Lonchura striata: one gene and its partner. The protein of the gene in region 2 binds, or shares a complex with, the protein of the main gene of each other region. Links are inferred from orthologs where the notes say so. Each region holds a gene or a part of one and is shown on either strand. Other genes may lie near its edges. The genes, in order: NUP37 and NUP43.

Region 1 (15,083 bases), on a different chromosome or scaffold from region 2:
TCTTCTGGTCCTATCACTTGTTGGCTGGGAGACTGACCCCCACCATCTACAGCCTCCTTTCAGGTGGTTGTAGAGAGTGATAAGGTCCCTCCCAAGCCTTCTTTTCTCCGGGCTGAACAACTCCACTTCCCTCAGCTGGACTTTCCTTCATAGGACATTCACTCCAGAACCCTCACCAGTTCCACTGCTTCTCTGGACATGCTCCAGCACCTCAATGTCTTCCTTGTTCTGAGTGGCACAAAACTGAAGAGAGGATTCAAGGTGCCAAGTACAGAGAGACAAACACTTCCTTCCTGCTGCTAACCACACTATTTCTTGTAGCCTAATTAAACCAAAATAAACTAAAAAATTAGAACTCAGATATTGAATTTAGCTCGCTAGAGTCTGTAGTACCAAGTTTATCCCATTGTTTCATTATTTCAACTTATTATCAATCCATTAGCTAAATATTAAAGAAACTTTACATTCTGCTAAGTTAAAAGATTTAATTCACAGCTTAACAAGCTTTCAGCTTGTTGTCTGAAATTCACAAAACTGTATATATTACACAAACAGACAACTTTAATATGGAATGACAGATATCAACTCAGAAGCAAAGAGCATAAAGAACCTTTAGAACTATTTTGTCAGAAATCCCACCCAGCTCACTATGTCAGTTATGCCACTGCTCAGTGGCAAAGTCATGTATGACCAACACTAAAAGAAGTAAATTAAAAGTATGTGCATGCATGAAGCAACACAAAGAGCATTTTCTTTCAAGACATTTAGTAGTATCCATCTTTACTTCTTATGCCCTGCCTTTATTCATTCTATTAGCAGTACGGCCACATAACTGACATCCACAATTCACTTAATTTCTGTATGACAAATCTCATTGTCTTACTAACATAAATTAACACATCAAAAATAAAAGTCTATTTTTTCTCCTTTATACCCAATAATCCACTCTCATCAAAGAGGCATTATCATCTTCTAAAGCAATAAAAGCCAAGGAATACTCTCTCCCATTTTTTTTTAAATTAATTAGCTTTGCTTATTGTTAGCTAGGACCTCACCAAAAAAACTTTATACTAGATAGCACAAACATTTAATTAACAGCAGTACCTGGATTGGAACATTGTTTCAAAGGAAGAATTTTGAAGGAAATCAGAACATCATGTAGGTGATAATTACAGTTATTCCCACTTTAAAGACAGAAAGGTATTTACAATACAATTATTATCACTAGAGATGATGAACCTAGGCTCTGTCACAAGTGGAGCAGAAAGACAATTAAAGATTAGACTTCACTAAAAATCAAATAATCTTTTAAAAATCACATTAGATGCCCTTACCTTAAATTCATTCTTGTCCTGCAGGTCTGAAGTAAACAGCCTTAACTTCCTATCAGAAGCTGCAGTACAAAACCTACACTCAACAGATTAAAAAAAAAGGCCCTTCAGTCAATCAACATTGCAATAGTTGCCTTTTAATCAGTTTTCTTTCATCTTAAAAAGGCAAAGTGAGACTCAAAGAAGAAACAGATTTTGAAAAAAAAACCCAAAAGCATCTATCTTAACTTTTCTGCTTTGGCCACAAGCAGAGTTATAATTGGAGTTTATCTGTAGAATAGTGTGTATCAAGTGCCAAGAATACTTATTCAGGCATTTTTACAAAGCTAAATCTAGATCAATTACTAATTACCTGAAATAACTCTCATAAATGCTGTTGAAACTTTCCTTTGAAGAAGTTAAGTGGTAGGGCACAAAAAATAGCCCTAATTATCAGTGTTTCAAAATACTGAAATATAAAGTTCATAAACCAAATTCTATTCAACATGTTTTAACCCAAAAGACTGTATGAAAACGGAGTCGTAAGCAACTATGGTAATTCTGAAGAATCAAATTACTGAGTACATTTTAATTCAGAAGTTCACATTTAATAGCTAACCATCTTTCTAGATTTTCTAGATTTACACCTCAAAAGCTCTCATAAATAGTATCTAACCTACATTGAAACATAGCACATATTATGCAAATCAGTGCAAATAGCTTTAGAAAGGGGCCATTCAAACGATCTCACATTTACTAAAGCTTTTAAAATAAATGGCTCATCACAGATGTACAAGGAAAGAAACTTTTATGTCTGGGGTCCATAAAAATAATGAAAAAAATATTATTTACAGCTTGTTCAGTGGGGAGAGGATCAAGGGGCACAGGGAGAACAAAAAACAAGCAAATGAACAAAAAAAGACTGTAAGAATAAATACTCTACTGAAGATTTCAGAGACTTCATCAGTGATTTCTAAGGAGTTAGATTTCACTCAAACTTTGAACAATCCATTATTAACGACTTAGGGAAAACAGGTAAGAGACAAAGATTCACTGTAGTTGTTTATTGTTAAGTACCTTATCTGAGGAGGTATAGCATCAAGTCTAGTTTCAGGACTCCATGCTATGGCATCAACTCTGATTCCATGGTGAAATGTTCTTAGTGTCTTATATTGCATGCCTTCCACTTCTGCATCCTCCTCCTATAGAAATATTGCAGTTAGCTGATTCACAACAAGGTCTTGGTGACTTCTAACAAATCAGATTGCTACGAAATGAAAGGGCTTTCAAAATTATACATATTGCAATCTTTTCAGATCTTAACACCTTCAAAAATAAAATCTGGAAGATAAATATTTCAAATTAATGCTTTATGTAAGTACTTAGAAATATATTAAATGATTGCAGTCTCAAGCCAGACATCAATGAAGAGCAGGAAAATCAGAATTAAACTATGAAGATGCTGAGCTCATTCTCTGTACTAGTATCTTCACAGATACAACTAAGGCCACTTAAAAATGGCAATTTACCATACATTGCAGTGAGAAGAAGCAATGGGAACAAAAGCAAGCATGTAATTTAATCTGTCCTCTCTCTGAACTGTTTTTACACCATAGAAAATTCTGTCACTTCCAGAACATTGCTCTTGAAACAGCAGAAGACAAAAAGGTACTCTCTGTCATCTAATCCTAATTACAAGCTTGCTTATTCTTACCATTGATATGAACACCAGATAACAGGAAAAATAAAACAGGAGTTGGGATTATGGACTCCATCAATAAGTTGACCTCTAAAACGCTTTTAAAAGTTTTCAGTACATCCAATGGAGCACCTCAAAAGATATTCCTACACAATTTTCTCTATGTCATAATTCTGTTTTAAGATAAAGAACCTCTCTGTATGCCCTCTACATAATGTAGAGGCCAAGCAGAACCCAGCTGAGGATGCATGAAATTACCCACAGTTTTTCAATGCTTCTCAACAGGAAGAAAGAACAACATTTTTCTCTCCTACTGTGACATGGTCATTGACTCCACATGTGGAAGGGGAGGATATGAAAATTATAGAAAAAACACCTTGTGTCAGTGGTTATAAAATTTGAATTACTTCCTTTCCAAGGCCTACATCAGAAACAAGGTAGAGAGGAACACAAATATCAGTATGTTTTTGTGGTTAGCTCTTCAGAAAATTTACAACAGTAAGACCATGGGGAATAATAATAATAATAATAATAATAATAATAATAAAGATATCAGCTACACTATTAATCATAATAGACAAATTACAAAAATAATATTGTGTAATAAAGAAGCAAGATGAAGGAAAAAAGCTTCGAAATTCCAAGCAATTGTCTTCAATTGATTGTCAAGCATCTAGGCAAAAAACTCATCTAATGAAAAACATTTTATCCAGTATAAATATATTCAATACTCAGTATTTTCCATTTAAAAATTTTTCACAATATAACTGTAAATAACTTAAAGGTAAGATGTTTTACTTTACAGACTGTTACAGTCTGTAAGGGAGATCCAGTAAAAACAACTGTGAGAAAAAAAAAATTAGGTAAGTATTTCTACAGTTCATCCCCAGAAAGAAATATCTATAAAATTAGTGCAGATATATCAGTGTGTATTTTACATACATATATATATATATATATATATATATATATATATTTCTATTTTCCTGAAAAACAAGTATCCTAGACTTGTTAGTGTATTAAACAAGTAAAATTCTCCCTTGTTTACCCCAGCAAGAGGAGGAAACAGGAAACAGGAAAGTGACCAGTCTTTCTGCAGTAGAGGTGCTGGCAAAGTCAGTTTCAGGGGCATCGAACAAAAACAACAGTATAATACAGACTAACCTGAAATCTGCAAGTCCCAACAACCACATAATTGTTGCCACCATAAGCAATGAGGGAACATGGATCTCCACTGTCAAATGGATTGAATTTTACCACGTGCACATAATCCTCGCAATCCACAGTGTAAGAAATGTTTCTAGTAGAATCTTGCTTCATTTTCAGTGAACTAAGTCAAGGTATCACGGAAACTGTGTCTTCTTCAGGACAAAAATCCACATTCCTACACAAAAATTTAAAAAAGCATAGATGACTCATTGCATGAATAAAAACCGCAAAGTATTTGTGGCAGAGTAAATAAAAATTTCTGTAACATGTTCAAGAACACAAAAGCTGCACTTAAGTTTATTAGATGTAGCCTGTTTGTTTCAGAAATCAAAATATTTACTAAACTAACATACATTCAAAACTGTCTCTTTCTGACTTCAGCAATAACTGCAGATCTTGTACTACCCTTGGCAACCCAACACCAATACAAAAAACCAAGTAACTGCACATACTCCAGAAGAGTCGCGAACAGCATTTTAACATTTTCAACCAAATGAAAAGAAACAACACATCACTACCTTCAAATTCTCTTTACTTGTCTACCTCTTTATGGACTGTGAGTCTAACGAAAAACTGAGTTAACCAAGGTTGCAAAACTGTAAATGAAAACTCTGTCGCACATTCAACCAGTTTTCATGAAAATCAGGTTTCTGTACTAGAACACAAGAGGCCAAGACACACAGTTGATTTCAGAATCAATTCCTTGTAGTCCCAGTACAGATTTGAGATAAGCTTATGTCTTTTTGGGAAATCAGACCTTTAACTACACACCACGTGGAAAATCAGCTTGAAATCTCAGACCTTTGACAGATTTTGGTGTGTAAATGACCTGAAGGTCTCAGCATTCAAGCCCGAATGTTTAGCTTGGGAGCCAGCCAGGTCTGACAGAGGCATCACTCAAACACAGAGAGGCTCTCCGTAGTTATGTGTTTGTGTATTAATTCATACAACAGTCCACTATATTACCATAAATACTTTAGCCATATAACTTGCATAGCTTTGCTACTAAAGCCAAATGCAAATTTTAATCCTATCAAAAGTTTTTTTCCTTCAAGGCTTCCCATGAACACAAGCCTTTATAAAATCTTAGAGTGTTAAGGGTTTAGAACAGACCTTTAATATCATGTAGTCCTAAACCCCGCTGCCTTGGGCAGGGATACCTTCCACTAGACAAGGCTGTTAATGCCTCATCCAGCACTTGAACACTGCCAGGATTGGGACAGTGGCTAACCATTCTCACCGTAAAGTATGCCTTCCCCAAATGTAACTGAAGTTTCCCCTCTCTCAACCAAAGAAAGTAACCATTGCTTCTCGCCCTATCTCTACAGTCCCTCTCCTCTTTCCTGTAGAGCCACTTGAGATGCTGGAAGGTGCTTTGAGATCTCCACTCAAGTTCCTCCTCTCCAGGCTGAACAACCCCAACTTTCTCAGCCTGAATTATGGGCTGCCAGACCAGCTTGAAAACACCAAGAGTAAGATTACCTTCATTTCTTTAGAAAGCACGACTAAGGCAACCAGACCGCGTGGGTGCGCGTCACCTCCCCCATCCACGCGCATCCTTTGCCCTCCCTCCTTTTCCCTTCGGGGCCCAGCTGCTGCTCCCCAGCCAGGCTGCCCGAGCTCCCCGGGCCGGGGGTGGCCCAGCCCCGCTTCACACGCACCTCGGCACGCCGGCCGCCGCTCCCGCCGGGCCCGGCCGTTCCCAGCAGCGCCGGCCGCGGGCGGCGGCAGCGGCGCGGCTGCTTCCGGGGCAGCGGCCCCGCGCCCATTGGGCCGCGCGGCGGATTTGAACGCGGCGCGGCCCCGGCCCGGCCCCGCCGCAGCGGCAGCGCCGGCACCGCGCTCGGGGCACCGCGGCGCCCGCGATGGTGATGCCGATCCCGGCTTCTGGGTGTTAGGGGCGGCTCCGCAGGGGTTGTTCGGGCTGTTTCGCTGGGAGCGACAGGTATGGTCCCCTGGAAAGCTCGTAGGGTGGGGAGAAAGAGAAGCCTCCGGAGAGCTTTTACTCTGCCCAGCGCTGACTTGCAGCGCGCGTGTTTCATCCGCTGTGACCCCCCCCCATGCGACGTTGTCCCCTTCAAACGTTTTGGACAGTGAGAAGTTGCTGCTGCAGTCGTGCCTGTTTCCTCCCTGCCCCTTGCCCACACGTTTTGGACAGTGAGAAGTTGCTGCTGCAGTCGTGCCCGTTTCCTCCCTGCCCCTTGCCCACACTTCCTCGTTTTTTGCAGTCGTGCCAGCAACCGAAAACCGAACCCGCTGTGGTCTCTGCTTCGGCTGTATGGGAAAAGGTCGAAGGTTGAGTTTTGTTTTCTGGAGGTAAATGGGATAGGTATTGCTCCTGTACTGTCCTGGCGGTGTTAGGGAACTTTGTTTCAGAAAAGAACAAGTTTAAAGGCAAGTTTGTACCACATTGTCATGTACCTTGTCTTGACAAATGCAAGAAGGTGAGAGAGACCAAAGCATGAAGTAGCCCAATTATCGCCAGAGAAGATAATGCCTTATGGAAGTAAAAAAATCAAACTTAAAAAAAAAAAAAGGGAAAAGACCGTATCGGTAACAAAAGTGTTTAGAGTTGTCTGTGTTAGTAACTCTTAGAAATATTAAACATCTCTTTTTCCAGGATTAAAACGTCCTCATAGACACTCACCTGAATGTATAGTGAATGCAGAAAGTTCTGAAGATGCACTGAGGCTGCTTTTGGAGACAAATACTGTGATATCTGTGATAGCATTCCTTTATGTTGGCATGATATGCAAAGAAAATAAGGACTTTAAAGGTGTGACATACTTACACCCCTTACTTTCAGACTTGCTCTGTCATAGTGAGGCAAGTCTGGTTTAGCTGGAGGAGTTTATTCTAGGAACTTGGTCTTTAAGAAGATACAACAGGATTTGCACAGCTTTTTGGGAGGTGAAGACCTGCATATGTCTCTGGCCATAATTGTTTTTCACTTGATTATATCTATTGTCTAGTCTGGACAATGGTTACTTTTCAGCAAAAAATTTTACACTTGATCAAGTGTTTCAGAAGACAATGGCCTTTATTTTCCAACTCTGAAAGAACTACTGTATGTGGAGCAGACTGCATGTTGATGGCGTTACAACTGTCCATGGCTGAAGTCAATAAACAGGTTAGTGTTCTTGGTACTTGGCACACCTCAGACTTGGTTCCCTGGCTGCACTTTGTGCTTAAGCACCAACCTGAATTTACTTTGTTGTTGTTTCCTTCCTGTTTGTTAAAACAAGGTATGTCTGAGGGCCAGATGCAGCAAGGCAAGAAAATGAATATTTAAGAGCACTATTGAAGTGGGGTTTACAAAAAGGACCTGCAAGACAGATGGGAGGATGGAAGTGCTTTTATGTGTATATTTGAGCTCCAGCCTTTAAACAATAGTGTATTTCTACTGACTGTGTCACTTCTGTTTATTTCCATCCAATGTTTCTTTTGTGCTATAGATCAGGGTAAGAGAACTATGGCATTTGGGGTGCATTGTTTTTCTGAGTGCTCCCAAGAAGATTTCTGAATGGCATGTGACGAACATGATTACAAAACTGATTTGGTATAGTTTGTGCAAGTTGTACTTGCCACAGACCGTTCTTGGCTGCTGCTTTTCCTGACATTGGTCAGGTGGAGACCTATGTGTACCTGTAAGTTGTGAGTGTGTAGCCAGTACCAGGAGGAATTTTACGGCTTTCTTTGTGTGTGCACATGAAGTGTCTGTCAAATGTTGAAAAGGAGGAATAACCCTAAAGTGTCTCTGAAAGTAGCCTATGGCTCGTCAGAGGTGGAGGATGTCTGAAACATACCAGAAACAGTTGCAATATACAATCAGGCCTTTGCCTCTCATCTAAGGAGAGCTATCACAATACTTGTTTTAATAGTTTAAGATACTTTTTTAGGTTTACTAACCTAATTATTGATCAAAACAATACTGACTGGTTTTGGAAGACTTACTCAAGTGTTGCATAGTAAGTCAAACATGTAGTACAAAGCTTTAGTGTAAGAAAACCAAAACAAATGTACCAAATCAACAAACATACCAGAAACAGCAGAACCACATCAAAGTGAAATCCGTAAGCCAATTAAAAAATCCAAACAAACAGAAAACCTTCAGTTTGTGCATCAGAAAAAGATTTTGTAGTCTAAAATACGCAGACTAGGAATATCTCTTGCTAAGCATTAAGTATAAAACTGGTTAAGTCATCCCCCACTGTTAGATATGTTACAGTAAGGGTACAAGAATGCCAAGATACTACATTGGTACTTTTTGGAATGTAATATATTCCAGCCAGGAGCCTGGTGTCCTCACAATACCTATGCAAGCTGAAATGAGAACATCAGCATGCATCAAAAGTAACTCTTGGAAAACTGATAAAAGACATTAATGCAAAACTACATATGGAGGTGACAGCTGTTTGTCATGTTCGTTGTGATTCTCAAGGGAAAACTGCAAACAGTTTTCCAAAGCCAGCTCTGGGAACTAAAATATGTTGTTCCGCTGTATGCCAAAATTTACAGACATGAAAAGGTTATGGTTCATTGCTCCCTGTTTTCCTTGCAATAAGTTTTTTCTTCCACTAGAGGTAATTAGTTTATTCTACTTTATCCTTTTTTTCCTCTTCCAGATAATATTCCTCTCTTCCATAAATATCTCTTCTTTCAGAAATGGTCTAACAAAAATTATAGCAGTTATTTTCAACTAATTTAATTTTGAAATGTTTAGCTTCTTCAGATCTGAAGAAAGAACAAGTTTTCAAAAACCTGATTTGTTTTTTCTAGTTGGTCTAACAAGACAAACCTTGGTTTGTATATGTGGATTAAAATTATTTTAGGACTTGCATGTGCTGCCTCTGAAGCACAATTTCTTCAGATGGTATCCATTTTCAAGTTCACAGTCTTAAAACAGAATCTGTCTGGTTTATTTTGTTCAGTACTGAAACTTCAAACTAAGATGCAGAGTATTACATTTGTAGACATGTCACTTGTTAGGTTTCTGATTTAAATACAATAATTTGAATTGTTAGCACCTGTAGAATGGAAATCTATTTTAGTAAAGTCAATTACTGCAATAAAAATAATTCATTAACAGGCTGTATTGGGATAAACCCAACACATCCAACCTATCACAAATAACCAAAATACACTTCTCTTCATTTAGGAGTTTGGACAGTTTTAATGGATTTGGTGTTTTAATTGGTACCTGTATCCACAGTGGAAATGAAAAATAACAAAGCTTTTAGGAGAACTCTAGGAAAGTTTAAAAGCTTCATAATCTGTTAATCTTAAATTTCACCATAATAAGGATAGAAAAAAGTGTGATAATCCCTGATCCAACAGTAGGGATGAAAGAAAAAAAAAAGCAAATCTGTGGTCTGAATCCCTCTGAAAATACTTTGGGTTGTAGCCATGTGGCATAAGGTCTCTGAATAGAAGTAAATACCTTTCACCTAGATTGATTAGTATAGATCTAAAAATCTAGAAACATTTTCAAGAAGATTCTTCCTCAGGGTTTGAAATAATAAGAAAAGTTTTCAAGATGAAGTTCAGCTGAGGGTAATTGCTTTAAGTTGACTGTTTGTACCTGTGGATCATCAGGGGTAGAAGATGAGTTTTTGGTCAGATAATCACCTGTCATTTTCAGACTATGGCTGTTTTAGCTAGTGGGATGGGAAACTGAAGTGTATAAAACAATTATTTTTCCAGAATCTATGAGTTTAAATTGTCAGACTTAAATGTGTTGGAAATCTTTTCTAGAATGAGAACTTTGATACTGGAAGAGAAACTGCTTCTTTGTTGATTTTAGAAATTATCTTCCCTTTAGAAATTTGTTTTTGTATATTTCTGATTTTATATAAAAGCAGAAATATACAAAATGTTTGGTTTATTTCTGTTCTGTGCTTCCGCAAGTGCATTTGGATGCCGACTGGAGAATATTATGTTCTGTTTAGTATCTTTATTTCTTGAAATGATTTCCCAAATTGTCCTGTTTCCAAGTTGGCAAATGAAGAAAAAAGTGGAGTTTTACAGTGTTACTCCCTTAAACTGTTCTGTCTCCCTTTTGGTAATGAGATACTCCTGACTAACTTTGTAGCAATTTCATGTGATGTGCTGCTTGTAACATGTTGTAATGATGCTACTAAGTGAGATTGTCTTGGCTGTCCTTCAGCATGATTAATTTTTCACAGAATCACAGAAGGGTTGAAGTTGGAAGGGAACTCTGGAGGTCATCTTATCCAGCCTCCCTCAAAGGCACCTGTACAGGTGTCTTTCAAGTTGTCTCTGAGGTTGGAGACTCCATAGCCTCCCTGGACAATGTGTGCCAGTACTCAGGCATCCTCAGAGTAAAAAGGTGTTTCCCGATGTTCAGAGGGAACCTTCTGTGTGTGTTTCAGTTTTTGCCCATTGCCCCTGCTCCTGCCACTGGGCACCTTAGGAAGGCTCCTGCCTTCATCCTCTTTGCATCCTCCCTTCAGATATTTGTATGCTTTGAGATCTTCCCTGGGCATTCTTTTCTCCAGAATAAACAGCCACAGCTTTCTCAGCCTTTCCTCATATGTGAGGTGCTCCTGTCCCTTCATGATGTCTGTGGGTGATACGTTAACTTCCTTGGACTTCTCTCCAGTGTGTCTGAGTCTCCCTTGTACTGAAGAGCCCAGAACTGGACACAGTACTTACATGTGGTCTCACCAGTGCTGAGTAGCCTTCTCTACAAGGGACAGGCTCTTCTTTAGAAAAGCCTTTGGAGTAGTAAGTATTTCCCTGGATACTTTTTTTAAAGGAAATTATATATTGAGGCTGTTCTACTGTCTTTCCCTGTGTAATCAAATTGTAACTTTAAGTTAGTTGCATGTATTTGTTTTGCTTAATAACTGAGGTTGTTTTAAAAATGTTAAAATTTTTGCCACTTAAGTCTTGATGCATCTTTCCTTGCTTATCAATAGAACTTTTTCTTCTCTCTTCCACCCTTCTCTCTACAGTATTACAGGTGTCTGTTTTGAGGGGTAGAAGAGGAAGCAAGGATGTGTGGGCTTTTTTTATAGTTTCATTAATTTCTAACCAGCAGGGCTCTAAATTTTCAGTCTCTTGTTTTTATTACCACTATAATTGATAGGGTTGGCTTTAGAAAGTACTGGTTTGTTGTTTGGGAGAGTACAGTTTTTGCTTTGCCTATTCTGTGATTCTGCTGTTGCAGCTACTGTTCTACTGTCCACTGTGTACAACAGCTCTCTAGTAATCCTTACACAGAGCATCTACTCTCTTGGGCCCTGGTACTTTGTCCCCCAACACTCCCCTTTACCCACAACAAAAGTGTTCAATGCCCATGCCGTTGTCATTTTATTTATTATTATTTTATAATATTGTCAATTCTCTGAGCCTGGGCTTTCAGCCTGTAACATCACTGCTTCTGCACTTTGCAACCTCACAACTGTCCGATGTCCATGCGCTTGTACTCACATGAATCAGTTTCTCAGTCTGCACAGCACTGTCACCAGGATAGGGAACTTGTTAAAAATGCTGCTTTTTCCTACCCAAATGTACCACAGTTTGGGAGCTCCTCTGCTGTGTAGGGAAGCAATGAAGGCTGAGCAGGACTAGAGGTGACAAGAGTGCAGAAGTGCCCAACTCAAGGACAAAGCCAGAAAACAATGCTGCAGTCTAGGAGTATGCCTGGAAAGAATAACCCCAACCCAGAGGTCGTGCTTAAGCACAGCAGTCTTTTGCACACATATTCCTAAAAGGATTGATGAGCCGTTGTTTGGGGAAGGTGGAAGCCAACATTTTGGTGCTGAAAGGCACAACTTTGTTTTTTAAAACAATTTGCTGTCAAAAGAGAAATTGTTTTGCTATGTACTTAGCACTAGAAAACTTACAATACCTACAAAGCAGTAAAAAATGATGTCTTTTAGCATGAAATGTTGCTACTGGATTTCAGACATTCTAAAACCAGAGTCCCCAGGTAACTTAATATGCTGTATTACCAGGAAGTGAAGATACTTTGTAATACCTTATTGGTTCTATTCCTATGAGATGAAACACTTGATCTGCCTATAATGGAATGAAAGAATGGGACTTTTTGGATTTCCTTAAGCTATTAGCCAATTGACAAATGCTTACTGCAAAACACCACAGTATTTTTAAAATTAATTTTAAAACCAGAGACTTGATAAATTGACTGTGTAAGTAATGGAATGTGCCATCACAGTGAATGTCGGGTCACAAAGGTTAATATCTGGAATGCAGCATTTGGATTTAAAATATTTTTGCAGCACTAACATAAACTTTGCTAATCTCTGCAGGCCCTTGATCTGGTGAGGAAAGGTTTTGATTTATTAGATACCTTATGAAGTTGTACTTTAACTTGGTACTCCTGAAGGATTTTGATTCAAAATAAAGTGAGAAAATAACATTTTTCCCCCCATCTACTGTGGCTTTGATCTGTTTAAATTGGGTTATAATAAGATTATATGTTTAATTTTTTGAGGGGCTGAAATGAAAATCAGGTGCTTTTCAGAAAACACACGCGCAGTTTTAACATTCTGGTGATATGTGGAATAATATGTAAGTTCATAGTGTTGGTTTATCATAACCCATGCACAAATTAAAAGGCAGAAAAGTGCTCTGAAGCTAATATGTGTGAGTGTTCTTTAATTTTTACTCCTTATTTTTCACCTAGACAATACCAAAATAGTTGACTTTCAGGATTTTGGAGTTGTGTATTTAATGAGGTCTATTGAGAAAATTGTGCTAAATGTGTTAGAACCCAAAGGAGGGATCATTTGGGCTGGAACAATTAGAATTAGAAATTCTCATGTTTTCTTATTTCATGTGTTCTGTTGCTAATGGTGTTTATAAGTAATTTAGTTGCTTAATGTTGAAATGTTATGAAATAGAATTAAACCTTTGCTGTAGACAGGAGCCATCTGCCATTATGGACAGTGCAAAGCAAGGCTTGTTCCTTGGTTAGAGGGCACTTATCTCATGTTACATGGTGAAAAACACCTTTTTTTGCTGCCACAGCTTGGGGAGTGCTTTAGATACCACTGGTGTGGACAAAAGCTTAGCAGCAGGAACTGGAGATTGGTACTCAGTTTAAAGAGCAGTGTGTGGCCAAAAATGAGGAGGACAAGTTGTGAAAGAGAAGGTGGTAAGAGCAAGTGGTTGGAGGAGAAGGCAGAGGGGCGCATGGACCAAAATCTGATCATTTTCACCAGAAGAGTGTAGTCTATACTGTATAGTTAATTATAGTAGTAACAGAGGGATGTGCATGGCTTTAATGTATTTATTAGAACTGTGTAGCAACACTGTCAATGTTATGATAAAGTATAACTATTAACACAAGGAAGAAAATCTCCTTTTTTAAATTGACATATGTTTTCCCAATTTACTGCTTGAAACAAAGTAAGGGAGCCATATTTACTGCCTTTGGGAAGTAAATGCTGCAAATTATTTCTGCAAATAACTTTATGCAAGAAGTAGTCCTGCAACATTCACTGCATTTTCTCATGAGTGAACTTTAATATACAGGCCTGATATTTTAAAGATCAGGAACAAATACTGACAGAAATATAATAAAATTCAACTGTAAATGCAAAGCTACAAGTAAGACTTTGTTTCTGATCAATTAAAATTATAATAGATTTTCAAATATATGTGTTTATATATTTGCAGATTCTTTTAAATTTATTTTCAAAACTATGCTGAATATGAAACTTTTTTTTTTTTTTCATTCTGCTAGCACCATGGAGACTTCACAGTATCACTTAGTGATGTGTTGGAAATGTGGAACTATTTGTTACATGACAAACTGGGATTGTATGAAAACCTGAAAGAACCTGAAAATTATACTGATGTGAAAAAAGCCTATCATGACTTTTTAGCAAGAAGCAATATGTTAGATTTAATAGACATATATCAGAAGTGCTATAGCCTTGGACTTTTAGCTGAAGATGAAAGCATATCCCCTGTAAGTATTATGTTTGTTTGACCTCTTATGTTATTTTGACATATTTTTGGTTCCAGTTATGGATTAACTTCTAATTATACACAGGAGCTCTGGGTTATTCACAACTTTGGGGAAGTTTTTGAGTTTAAATTACTAAATTTTGTAAGAGGTTTTAAATTCACTGAAAATTTCTCTGTCCTGCTGGAATGTGAGGTCCCTCTTATATGAATAACTGACTCCTTGCCATAAATTGGAATGAGAAGTAAACTGTAGAGATTTGATAAAACTGGAACAAAGCTTAGTAATTAACAAGCCATGGGGTTTTGGTTGTATGTTGATGTGCAGCTAATATATTTTTAATGATTACCATTTGGAAAACACTGCTCTTTAAAAAAAAAATCTTCTGTATAATATATGTATTTGTATGTTAGGTTTCTTTTTTCAGAAGTTCCAGTTCAGCCACTCATTCACAGCTCTGTTGTAGTTTATTGCAGTCTTTTTTTGTTGTTGTTGTTGTGCTTTTTTTTCTTGTTTTTCTGTGTTTTTCTTTTCCTCCTGCTTTTCATGGGGAAGATAGAGATCTTGGGTGGGTTAAGGAGCTCTTCCTGAACTTTAGCGTAACATGTTAAATGTTCCCCAAAATGTAAGCAGTGGCTCTTAGTGCAAGTGTAAAACATAACTGTTTGAGATAATTTCTAAATTAATTGTAGTCTTACACTTCATTTCTCCACTAGAATAGTTATACTTCTAAAGACTAGAACTAAAAGTAGGTTGTAAGGGCTGTGCTAACCTCAAACACTAGCAGAATGACAGAGATAGTTTTACACCAGGTTTTAAATTCACTTATGCTTTCTAGTCATCAGTTTATTATGATCTTTTTATTAAAGGTTCAACTGTTGGAATTTATTTCTGGTGTAATGAA
Region 2 (15,609 bases):
ATTTTTAAGTGAATATAGTCTACCCTTCACACATTGGTCAGAGGGTAGCAGATTAAAAAAAACCAAACCAGACCATGAAAAGCCCTGCACAACTGTTTGCCGTATAAGTAGTTTTTCTCAAGTGTTTATCCAAGAAAAGTGCTTATCTAAGCTTGCTTTCTAAGAAAAGAAAGCTGCTTTTAATTTTCTGTATTAAGATTGTGTTATTAATTGGGTCATGTGAGAACACTGACTGTAATGATGTTACCAACTGACAAATTCTGTGCAGATGGACTTCAAACATCCTTACCTTGATGAAGGAAAGATGGTTTTTCAGATACATTTGTGGAAGTATCCCAGTGCCAAAGAGATCCATCTTCAGAACACGTGAATAAATGATCAGGGTCAGAGGGATGGAAGTGAACTTCCCACACTGGAAATATCAAACAGAACCACTTTAGAAGAAGTCTCAAGTACTTCAATCAAAGTATTTGGATAGTATGATATAGACATGTATTTACAAGAACCCATGCCTCCATCAAAACCTTTCATTTTTAATTGAAAGGCCCCATCCTAAGTTATATACTGCAGTTTTCCCTCTGCTGGCAGGGGTAAAGTGGTAGAGAAGAAAAACAAAGAAAAAGATGCTATTTTGTTGCATTTTTAGTACTGTGAAAATTGTTAAGGTCTTATGTGAATTCAGGCATTTTGCATACTATCATGTCATATTCCCTCCTGCTGTTAAGTTTAAATCCGCACATAGCGTGCATTCCTTCCCAGGACACACATTATTTTGTGTCTAAATACCACAACTGCAGAAGACATTTAAGTCAGTAAAATTTAATATCAAGAAATACTTTTACTCCTTTAATTTAAACGTAGCATCAAATCACAGGATTTTCTGCATAAAATTAATTGCTGTCCTGTTCACATAGTTACCAGGAAAGTGAGCTGTTTCAGCACTGTGAAGACAACAAATGAATGCTGAGTCTCCCCTTCTTCCTCATTTTTTCAAGTTTGTTAGTATCTGCATTTTGCTTTACTCTATCTGCACTAGCTTCCATGGTTGTGTATACAACTACCCTGCTAGAAGCACAGCCGTTCTGATCAAATGCATCTAACAGCTCATTAAAGAATTGCTTACTAAGTCTACTTTTAGTTTAGAGTTCACTTTTATATAAAAACAGTCTCCTATACAGAGAAGGAAGCCACATTTTCCAGATGAAAGCATGGAGCAGTAGGTATCCTGGTATAGAGATGAAGGTTAGCGATACAGAGTGAGGAAGGGCAAGAAGAAGCTGGACCTGAACCTGGCAAGGGATGAAAATAACAACAGGAAGGGCTTCTACAGGTATTCACCCAGAAAAGGAAGGTCCAAGAGGCTGTACACCCCCAATAATCAATACTAGAAAACTGGTAATACTGGACAGGGACAAGGCTGAGCTAGTCAACAACTTTCTTCAATGGCAATCTCTCTTCCCATACCTCCCAAGTGGGTCGGCTGCAAGACAGGGTCTGGGGGAGAAAAATCCTTCTCACTGTACAAGAAGCTCAGGTCCCACCTAAGGCACCTGAATGTACATAAATCTATGAGATGCATCCCAGAATCGTGAAGGAATTGGATGATGTAGTTGCCAAGCCACTCTCCATGTCTGAAAGGCTATGGGAGTCCAGTGAAATACTAGGGGACTGGAAAAAGGGAAAGATGAGCACAAGCCCATGTTTGAAAAAAATAGAAAGGAAGACCCTGAGAACTACCAACCTGTCAGCCTCAGCTCTGGTCCTGGGAAAAACATGGAACAAATCCTCCTAGAAGCTAGGCTAGAACACACGAAGGACAAGGGCATGTAGTCATAGGACAAAGGGGAATGGCTTTAAACTAACAGTAGGTCTAGATTAGGTTATTAGTAAGAAATTCTTTACTGTGTGGGTTGTAAGGCACTGGATCAGGTTTTCCAGAGAAGCTGTGAATGCCTCACCCCTGGAAATGTTCAAGGCTAGGCTGGATGGGCCTCTGAGCAACCTGGTCAACTGGAAGGTGCCCCTACCCTTGGCAAGGGAGGTTGGAAGTAAATGAGCTTTAAGGTCCCTTCTAACCCAGACCATTCTATGATTCAATGAGATAGCAAGTATGTGATTGTTTTCTACCACAGTTGCAGCAACTTATTTTTACAGGAATCAGAAACTTCTCTAAAATCCCACCTTCTTCTCCCCCCTCCATTTCAGATACTTACTTTCTGCTTCATGAGCATTTAGCAGGGAAACTGGCATAGTACCCTGCCTGATATCCCATATACTCAGCATTCCATCCTGGCCCCCTGTGGCTACAATATGCTGTTGATTGGGATGCCTATCCACACAGTGCAGTGGAACTCTGTCACCTGCCCTGCAAAGAGGAAAAAAACAAAACAACCAAATAACCCAAACACGAATTTTTTGTTTAGCTTCTATTTCCCCCTTCTTAATCGCTAATTTGGCATCAGGAGCATTGACAAGCAAGGTACCAGTATCAACAGGACCTTCAGTTCCTGTAACACCTGACCACCCCAGGCTGAAGGCACATGACATCTACTGGAAACCAGAGAATGGCGATAACACGAAGCTACAAACTGGTTTCGTACCCTATGGAACGTCTACACAGCATCTGACACCTTTATATGAGTGAAACGCCTTTTAGGCAAATAATACTCTACATATACCTATAATATTATTCTGATGCATGATATATTTATAGTTTTAGCATATACTAAAAGTTAAAAAGGGAGACCAGGTACTAACAAAATCAGGTACCTAAACCACCATCTAGGCACAGTAATGGGGATTATTATACAGACAACATAATTGAAATTTAGCCCTTTTTCTTTTCTCACAGTACCTTGTAAGGCACAAAGTTACCATTCAAATACATTCCAAATGCCAGAAACCTTACATTAGGCCTGTGGAGAAAAGCATATATAAACAGATAAAGAGTTTGGGATTGAGGATTGAAAGTTTTTTTTCTCAAAAAAGTGCACAGGTATAATAGTCCTTCAAAAGTTAAAACATAAAACAGACCTGCTAAGCACAATGCTGAGTCACACAGTGGTTCAGCCATCAAGCAGTCTGCCTTTTGCTTATTTAAGTACCAAAGAAGTTAAAATCCTTTAAAAAAAATCAGTAATTTACCATCCCATTGTTAGGAAGCTATTAGGAAAGATTTGAATCAGATTATATGAAGTAGCACATACTTTTCAGTAAATAAGTAAAACAAATTACTTAGGAGGTCTTACAAAGAAAACATTTGAGATGGCTCATTTCTTTGCTGTCTGAGGTCCCATATTTTTAACTGTCCAATTGAGTTTACTGTCAAGATCTCAGTTGTGCGAAGGAAAGTCACTGCATGGAGTGTACTGCTGTCTGCGTTGTCTGCAAGAGATGAGGAGAGCATACAGGTAAAGCTGTGGAATGGTAGTCTCCATTTAATTGCAACAAAGTAGCTCTTAATAGAGAACAGAACAGAATTGCTTAAACACGTGCATAACCTCGGCAGTTTCAGGGTCAGAGACCCTCTACTATCTGCAAATACCCTGTGAAAAAGGAGCCCTTCCTTGCTTACTATATGAAACACTACTGAGACAAATCTGTAAGATGTATTAAATTAGCTCTGGTGATTACAAAACTACTCGTTGATTTGTAAGATTCCTTTTTGTAGTTCCTAGAAGAGGAATTGATTCAACCAAGTTTATGGTTCTCAAAAGTTTTCTTCACATGGCCAGCATCCAGTGACAGGAAGTAGCTATGGAGCTTTTCATAATGGAGTTCTAAACACAGGGAACAGTAACTGGCTCACAGCATTAAGCAGTTTTATACAGAAGCAGTTAATTCACCAACTTTTAGACCTTTCCTGAAGTGCCAGTGTGGTATCAAGTTAAACACAAATTATGCTATGCTTGTTAATAACTAAATAGCAAGGCCCTTTTTTTTCAGATCCTTTTCTCCAGTGCCTCTTTTTGTCACAGTAATTTACAATGTCAAGCAATTCACAGCTTTGAGGTGAAACTTTTGAGGCCTTCTGAAAAAGTGACACTATTTTCTTGTATTTTATTTCTGTTACTATATATAAACCTTTCATCTTGATTATGATGGGGTAACTTTGTTAAGTCTACTTTCACCTCAAGTATTTTAAAATTCTTTGTTTAAGCCCATATGGAAAATATAGGCAAATTATTATCTTTCTGCATAAGATGGAAATATTTTCTGATACTGGGAAAAAAATTACAATGATGCCTGGTTACAGATATTGGAATGACTCTTCTGCCTATTGTTTAAATGAAAGCAGAGGGGAAGAAAAAACTCACTAAAACATCATTAAAAAGAAATGTTGGATTACTGAATACCGAGGTTCTAGAGGATTTAAAGTTTTATGACAGACTAAGTGGTTTAGCAATGATACATCTTTACTGCTCCAAAATATTTTTACATAAACCTCTAACTTTATAGATGTTTTTTTCCCTACCTTAACTGACTACAAACCTATGCACTTTGTACTGTACTCTTAAACAAACAATAACAAAACAATAACACTAAACACTAACAGAAATTCCAAGGTATTCCTTTGCAACTATTGAATGAGGTACAAGAGTTCTATCTTCAAGTTACGGATTCAGCTTAGTGCCTGGGAAATGTCAAGGTGTTATTGAAGTGGGAACCAGCAAAACAGATTGCTTACACCACAGAACTCCATTCTGAAGAACCTGAGAGCATCTTCTAAGATGTTCTCTCTCTTACCTCTCCAACTTTTATTGTAAAACCATGAATTTAAAAATACCTAGATGAATATAGAAATACATCTGAAATATGCTTCAAGTATTTGAATTCTGGAGGGATACAGGAATAATCTGGAACAAACATGTTCAACCTGGAATACTGAAATCAATATTCAACTTATTTTTTATTTTGTTATAATAAGCTGAAAACCAAACCCCCTCCAAACTAGACTAATTTAAAAACCCTGGTATTTCACACACCTATAGTTCTTACTGCATCTTTTTGGTCCGCCCTGAAGAGATTTATTCTACCATCTTCTCCAACAGTGACAATTTCTGGGTTGTTGCAGACAACTCCTGTACAGGCTGCTCCACCACAAGCTGTGTCTTGATCCACATGATAATGGGCTTTCTCCCACCGGTGGTCAGCAGATAATGTCTAAGTATTAACCACACATGAAATTATGGTATTAAATAATGAACCCAATAGAACAAATCTTCCAGAATACTCATATAACCAGAAACAAGCTCCAGGAAAGCCACAGTATTTCATGGGAATGAGAGCCTCCTATATAAATACAAATCAAGAGATCCAAATTTTCATCTTAAACACGCAACGCTTTTATTAAATGTTAATTATTTCTTCTCTGAACCACTGTGTTCACATGATCTAGCAATTAGAAATAACACTATGGACTGTAAAATGTCTTTCACTAGGCTGATGTCTTCAATATTTCCCATGACAGGGGAAAAGAACTGATGCCCTTAGAAAATAAAAGGTCAGATTCAGATCTTGATTGCAAGGAAGTTGGTTTATTTTAGGTACCACACCAAATTATTAACTGACATCCACCTTTACTGTGTTATTTGAACATATATAAAAATGTAATTATGCATTTATTTTCAGTGATTTATAACCAAAGCAAAAGGCTACAGAGTTTACATATCTTTCTTCACATGACACTCATAAGAATTAATTCATAATTTGTTAGAATTGAAAAAGAAGTAATTTATTTCAAGAATTCAAAAACTCTGATAAGGCAGGTAGAAGTCCATTAATATCTACTGCCCCAAAACCCTCTAATGTCTCAAACGATGCTTTCAATGAATGGGCGTTTGGTTACAGATACAGATAAGGAGATACCCCAGTCTGTCTCACTCTGGAATCTAGTTTATGTGCATATGTGTAAAACACTATTTTGTTTCCTCGTATGTGTCAAGTCAAAGCTTTTTTAACACGCTTTTAAAAGAAATTCATTTTGGTAGCCAGATTATTTTTATGCTAAGATCAAAGTAACCTGTATTACAGGGAATAGCATTTTAAAGCCAGTGCATGTCACATACCTGGTTATTTTGATGATGACGGAATACAGTTACAGTTCCTGTTGATGAGGCAACCACGATTCTCTCTTGATCCAAAAACTAGAGAGAGAAAACAATAATACTATTAGCCAACTTTGATTTTAGAGTAATCAAAATTATTGGTAGGTGGAGGGGGAAAAAACCAAACGCACGAAAAACACAGCAATATTGATTGGCATTGTCCTTTTTCTTTGTCAAAATTTTCTGGCCAATCTCAGCATTTTGACAGTTCACTTTCACTCAACTTCTCCTAAGTGACAAGCCCTTAAAAACTACGGAACTACTCAACACAGGTATTTTACCTGCATATCCATAACATCGCCGTTGTGCTGGATGTCACACAGCAAATGAGGTTCTCCATGATATTCACCGTTGAGGCCCGCATTTCCAAGGTCGCCAGCAGACCAAATGGAGATCCTGTTGTCCTGAACGGAAACGATACCACATGTACTCGAAAACGCTTTTGAAAGTACCGAGCAATAATCCTCAGCCAGGGAAAGCAATAGGCTGCGGGCTGCGCGCCGCTCCTGAGGAAGCCGCCGCCGGCCGGAGGGAAGCGCTTGCCCCGGGGGATAACGCTGCCGGGGCGGCCCCACAGCTCCCTTGGGGACGCGAGCACGGCACGGTCAAGCGGAGCGCGGGATTGCCGAGCCAGGCGGTGCTCCCGGCCGGCTCCGGCCCCGCTCCCGCACCAGGCGGCGGAGGGCAAGGAACCGAGGCGGCGTGGGGCGCCGCCGCCACCCGCCCCGCGCCCGGCGGGGAGGTGGCGCCGCGCCCTCGGGCCCGCCCGGGCGGTACCTCGTTGTCCCAGGAGCCGGTGGCGAAGAGGTCGGGGGGCTGGAGCGCGGCGGCGGGCAGGGGCCGCCAGCGCGTCCGGCTGATCTTCTGCGACACGAACTTGGCGCTCACGTCCTCCATGGCCGCGCCCGCCCCGCGCCCGCTCCCGCCCGCCCCGCGCCACGCGCGCTGATTGGCTGCGGCGCGACGGCGAGCGCGGAGGGACAGGCGGGGGCGCGCTCGGGCCGTGCCGGGAGCGGCGCGGGGGCGGCCCGGCGCCTGCTGCCCGCGGTAACGGGGCTGGGGCGGCGCTGCGCTCTGCCTGACCCTGAGCAGCTGCACCGGCGCCTATCGGCTCGGTGTCGGTAGAGGGTCGGGTTCGGAGAGGAGGAAACAGAGGATGACGCGACCGTGCCGTTGTGTTACCTGTCTGCTCGGCTGGGCCGCGTCCGCCGGAGCGTTGTGTCCGTATGTCACCTGTGCCTTACATGCACCGACTCCTGTTTTCTCAACATGAGCGACGTACACAACGACTAAGCATTTCTGGTTTAAGATCTGCTTTTAAGTATGTCCTGCTTTCAGCTGAGTTAATTTTCTTCCGAGTAGCAGCCAGAGCGCTATGTATCCGATTTAATGTGAGAATAATGGTGACATCACACTGATGTGTTGCTGCTGAGCGGCGCTTACCGCAAATCAAGTTCTTTTCAGTCCTCGCTCTGCCGGTGAGCACTTGGACGAGAAGCCAGGAGGGAGCATGGCCAGGACAGCTGACCCGCGCTGGTGAGAGGGATATTCCATACCATAGAATATCACATGCACTGATTAAACTGGGGAACATTGGCCAGGAGGGACCAATTACTGCCTAGGGACAGGCTGTTTATCTTTTTTGATTTGAATTATTAGAGTTATTAAGAGATAAGTTGTTATTATTATCTCAACCCATGTTTTTTTTTTACATTGGTTTTATTCCAATTGTCCTCCCCATACTCCCTGGGGTGGGCTGGGGTGGTTTGTGGGGCTTATGTGACCAAATATTTGCCTGGTACTTGCTGGCTGGGGTTAAACCATGATACTGTACTTCTGAGTGATACTGTCATTGCTTTGACAGATTCCTACCTGTACAGAAATAAACAGAATATTTTTTTGTCGTAGATGCTATGTTAAATCAAAGAGGAGCACACATGTACTTTCTTTCTAGTATTTCACTTGAGAACTAAATAACTATGCAATAAAAAGTTCAGAGGTTAGTTGTAAAATTAAAGGCTGACACAATTGTGTAGTTAGTTGTCATTTCAGAGGATGAGACTATTGATCCAGTCACTGCAGTCCAGTAAGGGACTTTCTCACACAGATTTTTACAGCTTTGTTTTCTGCTGCATTTTTTTCCAAAGCTGATGCTGCCCAGTCTCAGAGGTTCTGTCAGATGGACATAACAGTGGCTTAGACAAATTTTCCATTGTGCTATTGCAGTTTTCCTGCTAAAGGCATCTATACAGATTTATTCTATACAGCACTTTTGAGTTCCTCATTAAGTCTGCTATACTGTTTTGTAATCCCTGAGGTGTGATACCAAACCACTGATATTTTATGTGCTTCATGCATCTTTTGAACTTCATTTAACTTTTTCTTCCATAATTACATTCAGCAGAATCCAACACTGAACATATGCCAAAAGCTGGATTCTCTAGGAGTCTACCATACTGCAAACATACCTTAAAAAATAATTGTTGCACATGGCAGCAGCATTGCTGTTCTACAGTAGCAAATGCTTCTGGCACCCTTATTAAGCTGCTCACAGCAGTTCTGCAAGTCACTCTTGACTCCAAGGGTATTATCAGCTAATTTTTATAACACGAAAAACATCAATAGGCAGCCTCAGAGTATAGCTACAGACCAGACAACTAAAAGCTGAATAGAAAACACTTTGGAATTATTAAAAAGTCTTATTAGGCAAATATTTTTTTTTTTGTTAGTTTGTGATTTCTCTGTGTGTTATTTTACCTTGTGCTTTTGGATGATATCTTTCTTTGCTCAGGATTGCTTGTTCAGAAGCATTTGGGAAGTAGTAAGGGAAGTTAGTTGGACATAAAGGCTTATTTTCACATAGAGGAAAAGAAGATTCACAGTTTTTCTTCCCTGTCCTACATTTTTTAAAGAAAATGTTGGCAGCATTTTATATGATGAAAGTGAGAGCTCTGACAGATTTAGGTCTGCTTTGTAAACCTTTAAATACTCTGTGCTTGATCCCTCTGAAAGATGTGTACTGTGTTAGTATATCATTTCAGTGTAATGGCAGATTTAAATAAACATATAAAAGGTGCAAATAAGCACCAAGAGAAAATACGCCTCATCTAGTATTTCTGTAGTTTTCAAGAAAGATGTTAAATCTAGGTTAAGATGACTCTAAGCCTTTGGTCCAAGCATGCCAGCTAAGACAACAAGGTGCATCTCTGGATTACCCTTCAATATGGCTAAAGCTGGGAGTGTGAGTGAAAGGGAAGAAAACCGAAAGCATGCCTGTCTCAGAGAACGTAGGGGGCCTGAGGACAAAGGCACCTACTAGATCAGTGATTGTACTAGGGCAGGATAAAGCTAATTCTGAACTAGATTTGCATATAATCTGCTTTTCTCCAATCATCATTGAACAATATTGAAAGAAAGTTTCTTGGAGATGCCAAAACAATGTTGACAGCTGCTAAGAGGTCCTGGAGCTGTGCCCAGTTTATTCTCTTGAAGGTGTACAGTTACACTGCAGTGTACTGCAGAGCAGATGTAACAGCAGAGGGACCAGCCCTGAGTGCAGTCATAAGCCTTGCCCGTGGCTGGGGCTCCCATCTGGGCTGGGATACCCTGCTCTTGGCCTGAGCTGTGCTGTAGGAGGGCCTGTGCTCAGCCATGTTGCCCAAACTTGGTGGCTAGCTTGACTTGGGGCCTGACTTGTCACTTCACTTGAAGGCAAAACCATTTCTGTCCCCAGCCCTGCTCTGCTTGCCTTGCTTAGATGCTGTGGGATGGTCTATCATCTGGAAGGTCTCATCTGGAAGGCTGACCTTCCTTCATGAAGGGGTACCAGTTCTGCTGCTCCTTAATGGGGAAAGTCACTGATGTTACTGAGTCCTTCTCACCTCATCTCTGAGTGCAGAGCTGGTAAAACATGGATGTGGAGTTCAAAATAATGTAAACTTCTGAAATGGTAATACAAAAGGAAGGTACACACCAAACTGGCTTGAGCTTATAGGAAAAGAAATGAGATGAAGGAGAGTGATTAAGTTAAAAAACAGAATGGAGGCAAGAAGAGGAGGGAGTGTAGGTGTAAAAGCCAATTAGCGTAGGGTTTGGGACATAACTGCGGAAATGTACAGTAGGAACATTTCACAAGGAAATTTCTGCTTGTGGTATGCAGAAGCAGATGGGAGCAGACAGTGATGAGCAATTTTCAAATTCTTTCTAAATTCAAAGAATTTAAAAAAATCTAATGGGCCTATGAGGTGGGAGGGAAGGAATCAAACAGAAATAGTAGTTTGAAGGGGTTTATATATAAATGTATGGAAGTACAGCTAGAGAGGATTGGGATGTGGGTGAATGTGCAGCAAAGGAAGACGAGATGATGTGCTTACACTTAGTGGGATCTTCATGTCAGAACAATTGTATGGTGGCATTCTGGCTGCTGGCATTCCGGCTGCTGGCATTCCTGTGCCTTTTCTCTAAGAGGACTGTCCACGCATCAGCTTCCTGGAGAGTCTAGGGAAATGGCTCTGCATGTGGAAAATGGAGGTGCCTGCAGTTGACAGTGAGCATCCAGGGACCAAGGTGCTCACATGAGTTGGAGCAGGATACAGAAATCCTGAGTATCAGAGCAAATGGATAGGTTTCACATAAATGGTGATGGCCAGAAAACAATTTTTTGTATTATTATTTCTGCTCATATTTTACACTAGTAAAAAATGTTGCCTTTAGTTTAGTCTCGTTGAATGTGCTCCTAATAGGTTTTTTAAATGTACACATGGCCTGGGATTATGGAACTGAAAGAGTTAGGGACACCTTCACTTGTTTACTGCACAAATGGGTGCATCCTGCCACTGTTGGTGCATGTTAGTTTCCCAGGACCCTTTGAGGCAACTTGGCTTGTCTTAGAGCTCCTGGAAGCCTGCCAAGCCAATGCTGTTTCCTTCACACATGCCTGATATCCGTCCAAGACACCCCAGATATTGTTAAGGAAGGCCCACACTTAGTTTCATTCTCTGAATGTCAAGAACATGAACACTCAGTCAGAAAGCAACCAGGCAGGACTGCAAACTCCTACGAGAGAAATGCAGGCTTGCTCTCAGTGCTCTGTGACAAGCTAAGCCTAATTCAAGCTGGTCCTGGTAAGCAGCATCAGCTTGTATGTAAATAGTTTCTGCTGTGGTTTTGGTCTCCCAAGGGGTAAGTATCCCTGGAATGCTTTTAAACATGGGCCAGCTATTTTCTTGGCAGCAACCTCTCTATGTGAGAGCAATGCAGTTTGCTTGCATCTGACAATAGAAAATGTCTTTTGCATTTAAAACAATTAAGTATTTCTATGCTGTACTTTTACAATGTCTGTCTGTTCTCTGTACTTGCTGCCCTTTGGGAATTCCTCTAACTCCATGGCATCTTTCCCACTCTCTCAGCCCACTGGGTGTATCAGGGAGATCTTTTATATTCTGGGACAGGCTGGGAGCCTCACTTGGACTGCAGTTGCCAGATCACGCTTAGGAGAAGTTAGATGGAGAGCACAGAATGAAGCAGTAGATCTAGCTCCAGGATTAAAAGAACCAGATGGGAAGTCTACGGATGGGGTCTGGTATATGCATTGAGCAACTGTCAGATTTGTCCTGGACTGACTGCAAAGTAGAGAAGTAGATTCCCACCTTCACCTCTTCACGTGAACCAGCAATGATTGCATGAAATAGACGTGTTGTGTGGAGCTGGAGCAAAATAAACACTCAAAGTCAAGATGGGCTCTCTCACAGAAGATACAATCTGTGTAATCTCCCATGGTGGTATTTTAGGCTGTGTCCTTGTATCAGAAATACTTGAAATATCTGCTAGATGACACCTTATTTTCCCCAGTGTTTATACTATTGTTAGGGCTAACCTATCCATACTTATGTATCACTGTTCTCATGTTTTAAAAGCCAAGAACTGAAAACCCTGCTGTCTGGTACCATGTGGATGAAATACCTGTGCCAGTGCGCCTGATTAAGAAAGGAAGTGCTGCAAAACTATTCCTAGGTGTGTGAAGCCCATTTGCAGGGACCAGAAGGCAGCACAAATGCAGAAGTCACAGCACTGACAGTGGGTTCCTAAAATTGCAAAGATGGTATATGCTTTCCCTTTAAACAGTAGAAACGTGTATAAATAACAGGTGGCAAATGAATATTGGCAACAAAATTAATCATAAAGGCTCCCTTCAGAGGAGGGAGAAATACTATAGGACTGTAGGAAATTAATTATCTGTTTTCCCTCGTTATGTTATAGCTGCAGGAGGATCTGAAGGTGCTACTTTTCCCTTAAGATTGCTACTTCATCATAGGCCTAACGCTGGGAGAGAGTAAGGGCTCATCGGCATTTAATAAATTCTGAGCTATTGTCCTGGATACCTCTTAAAAGGAATTTTAATTTGTAACTTTTTTCTGTGTCATCGGTATTGCACCGGTAGATGCTGCTGTGAAACATCGATACTTTCGCGGCCTTTAGCCAGTGTACGGCTATGCCAACTCTCCGTATCCTTCCAGCCCGCTCCCACTCCCGCCGTGTTTCCCGGGCGCAGGTCGCACCCGCGCTGCCCCGTCCCCACCGTGGGCACACACGGAGCACGCAGCTCCCGCGCCACCCGACCAATGGCAGCCGCCAACACGTAGGCCTGGCCCGCGCGGGCTCGCCGCGGCCAATAGGCGCGCCCCATGCAAAACACCGCGCCGGGAGACGCCGCTAATTGGTTCCGTCGCAAGGGCTGCGGGTCGCGCGCTGGGTCGGAGCCCGGAGCTGGCGGCGCAGTCACCGTGCTGGGTTCGGCCGCCCCGACTCCGCCTTCTGCGGTACCCGGTGGGTACCGACTGTGTCACGGGAGTGGCTAAGGCCGGGCAGGGCTAGAAGTGCGTGCGCGCCGAGGTGCCGCTTCGCTATCTCATTAATTAACAGAGCTCCTAAGTTCACGTACACGCGCCCCCAGATCCGTTCCACCCCGCCGCCGTTTCTGAGGCGAGGGCAGGACTGGGGTCTCGCCGCTAGCGCGCGATCCGGGGCCCCGGCAACAAAACGCGCCGGCCGGGAGCCGCCGCTGTACATCTCCGCCCCGGCGCGCGAGGATCTCCCCACGCGCGCCCCTGGGTGCGGTGGGCGCGCATGCGCGGGGGGGCACCGCGCCGGCCGGCGGAGCGGCGGCGGCGGCGGCCGGGGCATGTCGGGCGCGCGGGGCGGTGGGCGCGTGGCCCCTCCCCTCGGCGAGCGCGCGGCAGCCGCAGCGGCGGCGGCCGCGGGAGGAGGCGGCGAGGAGGCGGCGCCTGTGTCGGCGCTGGAGGTTGTGTCCTTCCTGGGGAAGCTGCTGTGCGCAGTCGCGGCGCTGAAGGCGGCTCTGTACCTGCTCCGCAGAGTGTGCCTAGCGATGGCCTGGAAGTCGGGCGGCGCCAGCCACTCCGAGCTCATCCACAACCTCCGCAGTGAGTCTCGGGGCGGGGGCGCGGGCGGGGCCCCCGGGCTGTGGGGCGGCCGTCAGCGGCCGCCCGGTGACCGTTAGCGACCGCGCGCTCCCGCGGCGCCCGCCCGACCCGCCGCTAACTGTCACACGGAGCGACACCGGCGCCCGGGCGCGCGTGCCCGTATCGTCCGTCCGTCCGTGTCCGTGTGTGCGTGTCTCTGTGTCCGGCCGGGGGTGTGTCCGTGCGCGCCCGGGCGGGGGATGTGTGTCCGGGCGGCGGCCGGTGTCGTAGGGCGGGCCGGGCTGTTGTTGCGGGAGGCAGTGCGGCGGGCGGGGTGGCGCCGATGGCGGTCCCGGAGGGGAAGCGCCGTGCGGCGGCCGCGGCTGTTCCCTGCTCGCCGCGTCCCCCCCTCCCGGCCCCGTTCCGTCTGCGGGGCCGCGGCGGCAGTGCCGGAGGGCCCGTGACTCCGGCACGCACCGGGATCGGCGTTCGTCCGTCCGGTTCGCTGCGGCCGGCGGGACTGGTGGCGTCGGCGGGCGCCCTCCGGTCCTTCAGGCCTGGGCTGAACAGCGCAGCGGGAGCCGCCTGGGTTTGGGAATCGCGGCGAGAGGCCGCGGCTGTTTGTGTCGGGTGAAAGGGGCGTGTGGCAGCAGTCCCTCCCCCCTGCCCGGCGGGGTCCCGAGTGGCTCCGCTCGGAGGGGTGGGCTGGCACCGCGGGGAGCGGAGCGGAGCGGTCGGGTTGCGGACTGGTGCTGTGACAGCCGGGCTTTGCGGTGGCTGCCCGGCACTGGGCGCTCCCTTGTGCTCGCCGAGGGTTTGTGCTGTCCCCGTGCTGAACGTGGAAGGTGTTGGGCGGGCGCTTCTTCGCCGATGTACTTCAGTACATCCTGAAGTCTGCAGGTCCTGAGAGGACGGAGAGACAACACCTTGTGCATTCGGAGCTTCCACTTTTCATATTAGAATTGAATTAACCTCTCTTAAGTATACTTAGTGTCTCTCGTCTATGCTTCTGGCCTTTTCCCTTCCTCTTCTCAAGTCTGTGTCCTAGACGTAATCGGATGTAGATCTGGAGCCCGTACTATGACAGTTGGCTCCTACTTTAGTGATACTACAACACCACAGATAAGTTCATCTGTGTGGCCTCCTCATTATTCTGGTGTCATAGGAGAATCACTCTTGTTGTTTTCTCCTTTTCTCTGCTTATGTTAGATCATCTGATCATGTGGTCTTTCTCAGTATTTTCTTTTGAAAACTATCGCATCCAGCAGAATAATACATGCTGAAGTGACTTTCAGCTTCCCTGTAAAAACTACTGATTATTGTAGTTTCGTTGTAAAAATTCTGTTTAATAAATTGATAATAACTTCTCTAGTTACAAGTGTTGCAATACATTTGTTTTGTTTTATTTTGCAACTGAAAGGGCTAGAAATACTGTTTTACTGAAATACTGTTCTCTTACACAGCAGGGAAAAACTTTCTGATGTAAAAACCAATGTTAAACTCCAAAATACATCCAAAAAGCAATTATTACCAGAATAGTCTAGGACGCTCAGAACCTGAAGGCAAAACCAGTTTCTTTGTTGCAGAAGACAATGACAGTTTTTCAACACATGGAAACTGTTTAGGGCGTTGCAAATAATGATGACAAAGCTAAAAACCGTTGTAGTTAGTATCCAGCGATAGTTGTATCGGAAGAGGAAAGTAAAACAGAAGTGCTCAATATTGTAATCTCAAAGCATGCATTGATGCTAATTTCCCCCTCTCTGTTTTGCATATGCATGCCAAAATGTTTTGAGGGGTGTAAAACAGGGAAATAGTGGATTGGCAGTAAAATATTGTGGCAGCAAAGAGGCCTTTGATCTTGCAGGAAGATTGCGTTGTCAACTTCAGTGGGACTCTGTTCATGGTGTAGGGCTTTATCAGTGCAGAGCAGCTGCTGAATTAAGACCATAACTTTCAAATAAGAGTTCCTCAGGTAGGACGGTACCTTGTTGCTAAAGTTGGGAACAGATTTAGAAGAAAGTACTGTTTAATGTTATACAATTCTTCCAGATATTTTTTAACAAACTTAAACATTATTGGTT

What was found.
Region 1: NUP43 (region 2) and NUP37 share a complex: the UniProt entries of both Homo sapiens proteins name them as parts of the nup107-160 subcomplex of the nuclear pore complex. The link is inferred for Lonchura striata from reciprocal best matches to the Homo sapiens genes NUP43 and NUP37.

What each region holds. Positions count from the first base shown.
Region 1 is NC_134607.1:19,255,144-19,270,226, forward strand, and holds the start of NUP37 (nucleoporin Nup37), read right to left. Parts: upstream 5,952-15,083; 5' UTR 5,880-5,951; intron 5,844-5,879; exon of another isoform or gene 5,701-5,843; intron 4,394-5,700; 5' UTR 4,330-4,393; coding exon 4,174-4,329; intron 2,513-4,173; coding exon 2,388-2,512; intron 1,408-2,387; coding exon 1,335-1,407; intron 1-1,334. Other genes in the region: PARPBP (PCNA-interacting partner), read left to right, coding at 7,199-7,348, 13,955-14,182, 15,049-15,083. UniProt on the Homo sapiens protein: Component of the Nup107-160 subcomplex of the nuclear pore complex (NPC). The Nup107-160 subcomplex is required for the assembly of a functional NPC.
Region 2 is NC_134605.1:57,515,092-57,530,700, reverse strand, and holds the start of NUP43 (nucleoporin Nup43), read right to left. Parts: upstream 7,045-15,609; 5' UTR 7,005-7,044; coding exon 6,885-7,004; intron 6,512-6,884; coding exon 6,389-6,511; intron 6,147-6,388; coding exon 6,069-6,146; intron 5,164-6,068; coding exon 4,986-5,163; intron 3,385-4,985; coding exon 3,249-3,384; intron 2,366-3,248; coding exon 2,214-2,365; intron 413-2,213; coding exon 290-412; intron 1-289. Other genes in the region: PCMT1 (protein-L-isoaspartate(D-aspartate) O-methyltransferase), read left to right, coding at 13,288-13,546. UniProt on the Homo sapiens protein: Component of the Nup107-160 subcomplex of the nuclear pore complex (NPC). The Nup107-160 subcomplex is required for the assembly of a functional NPC.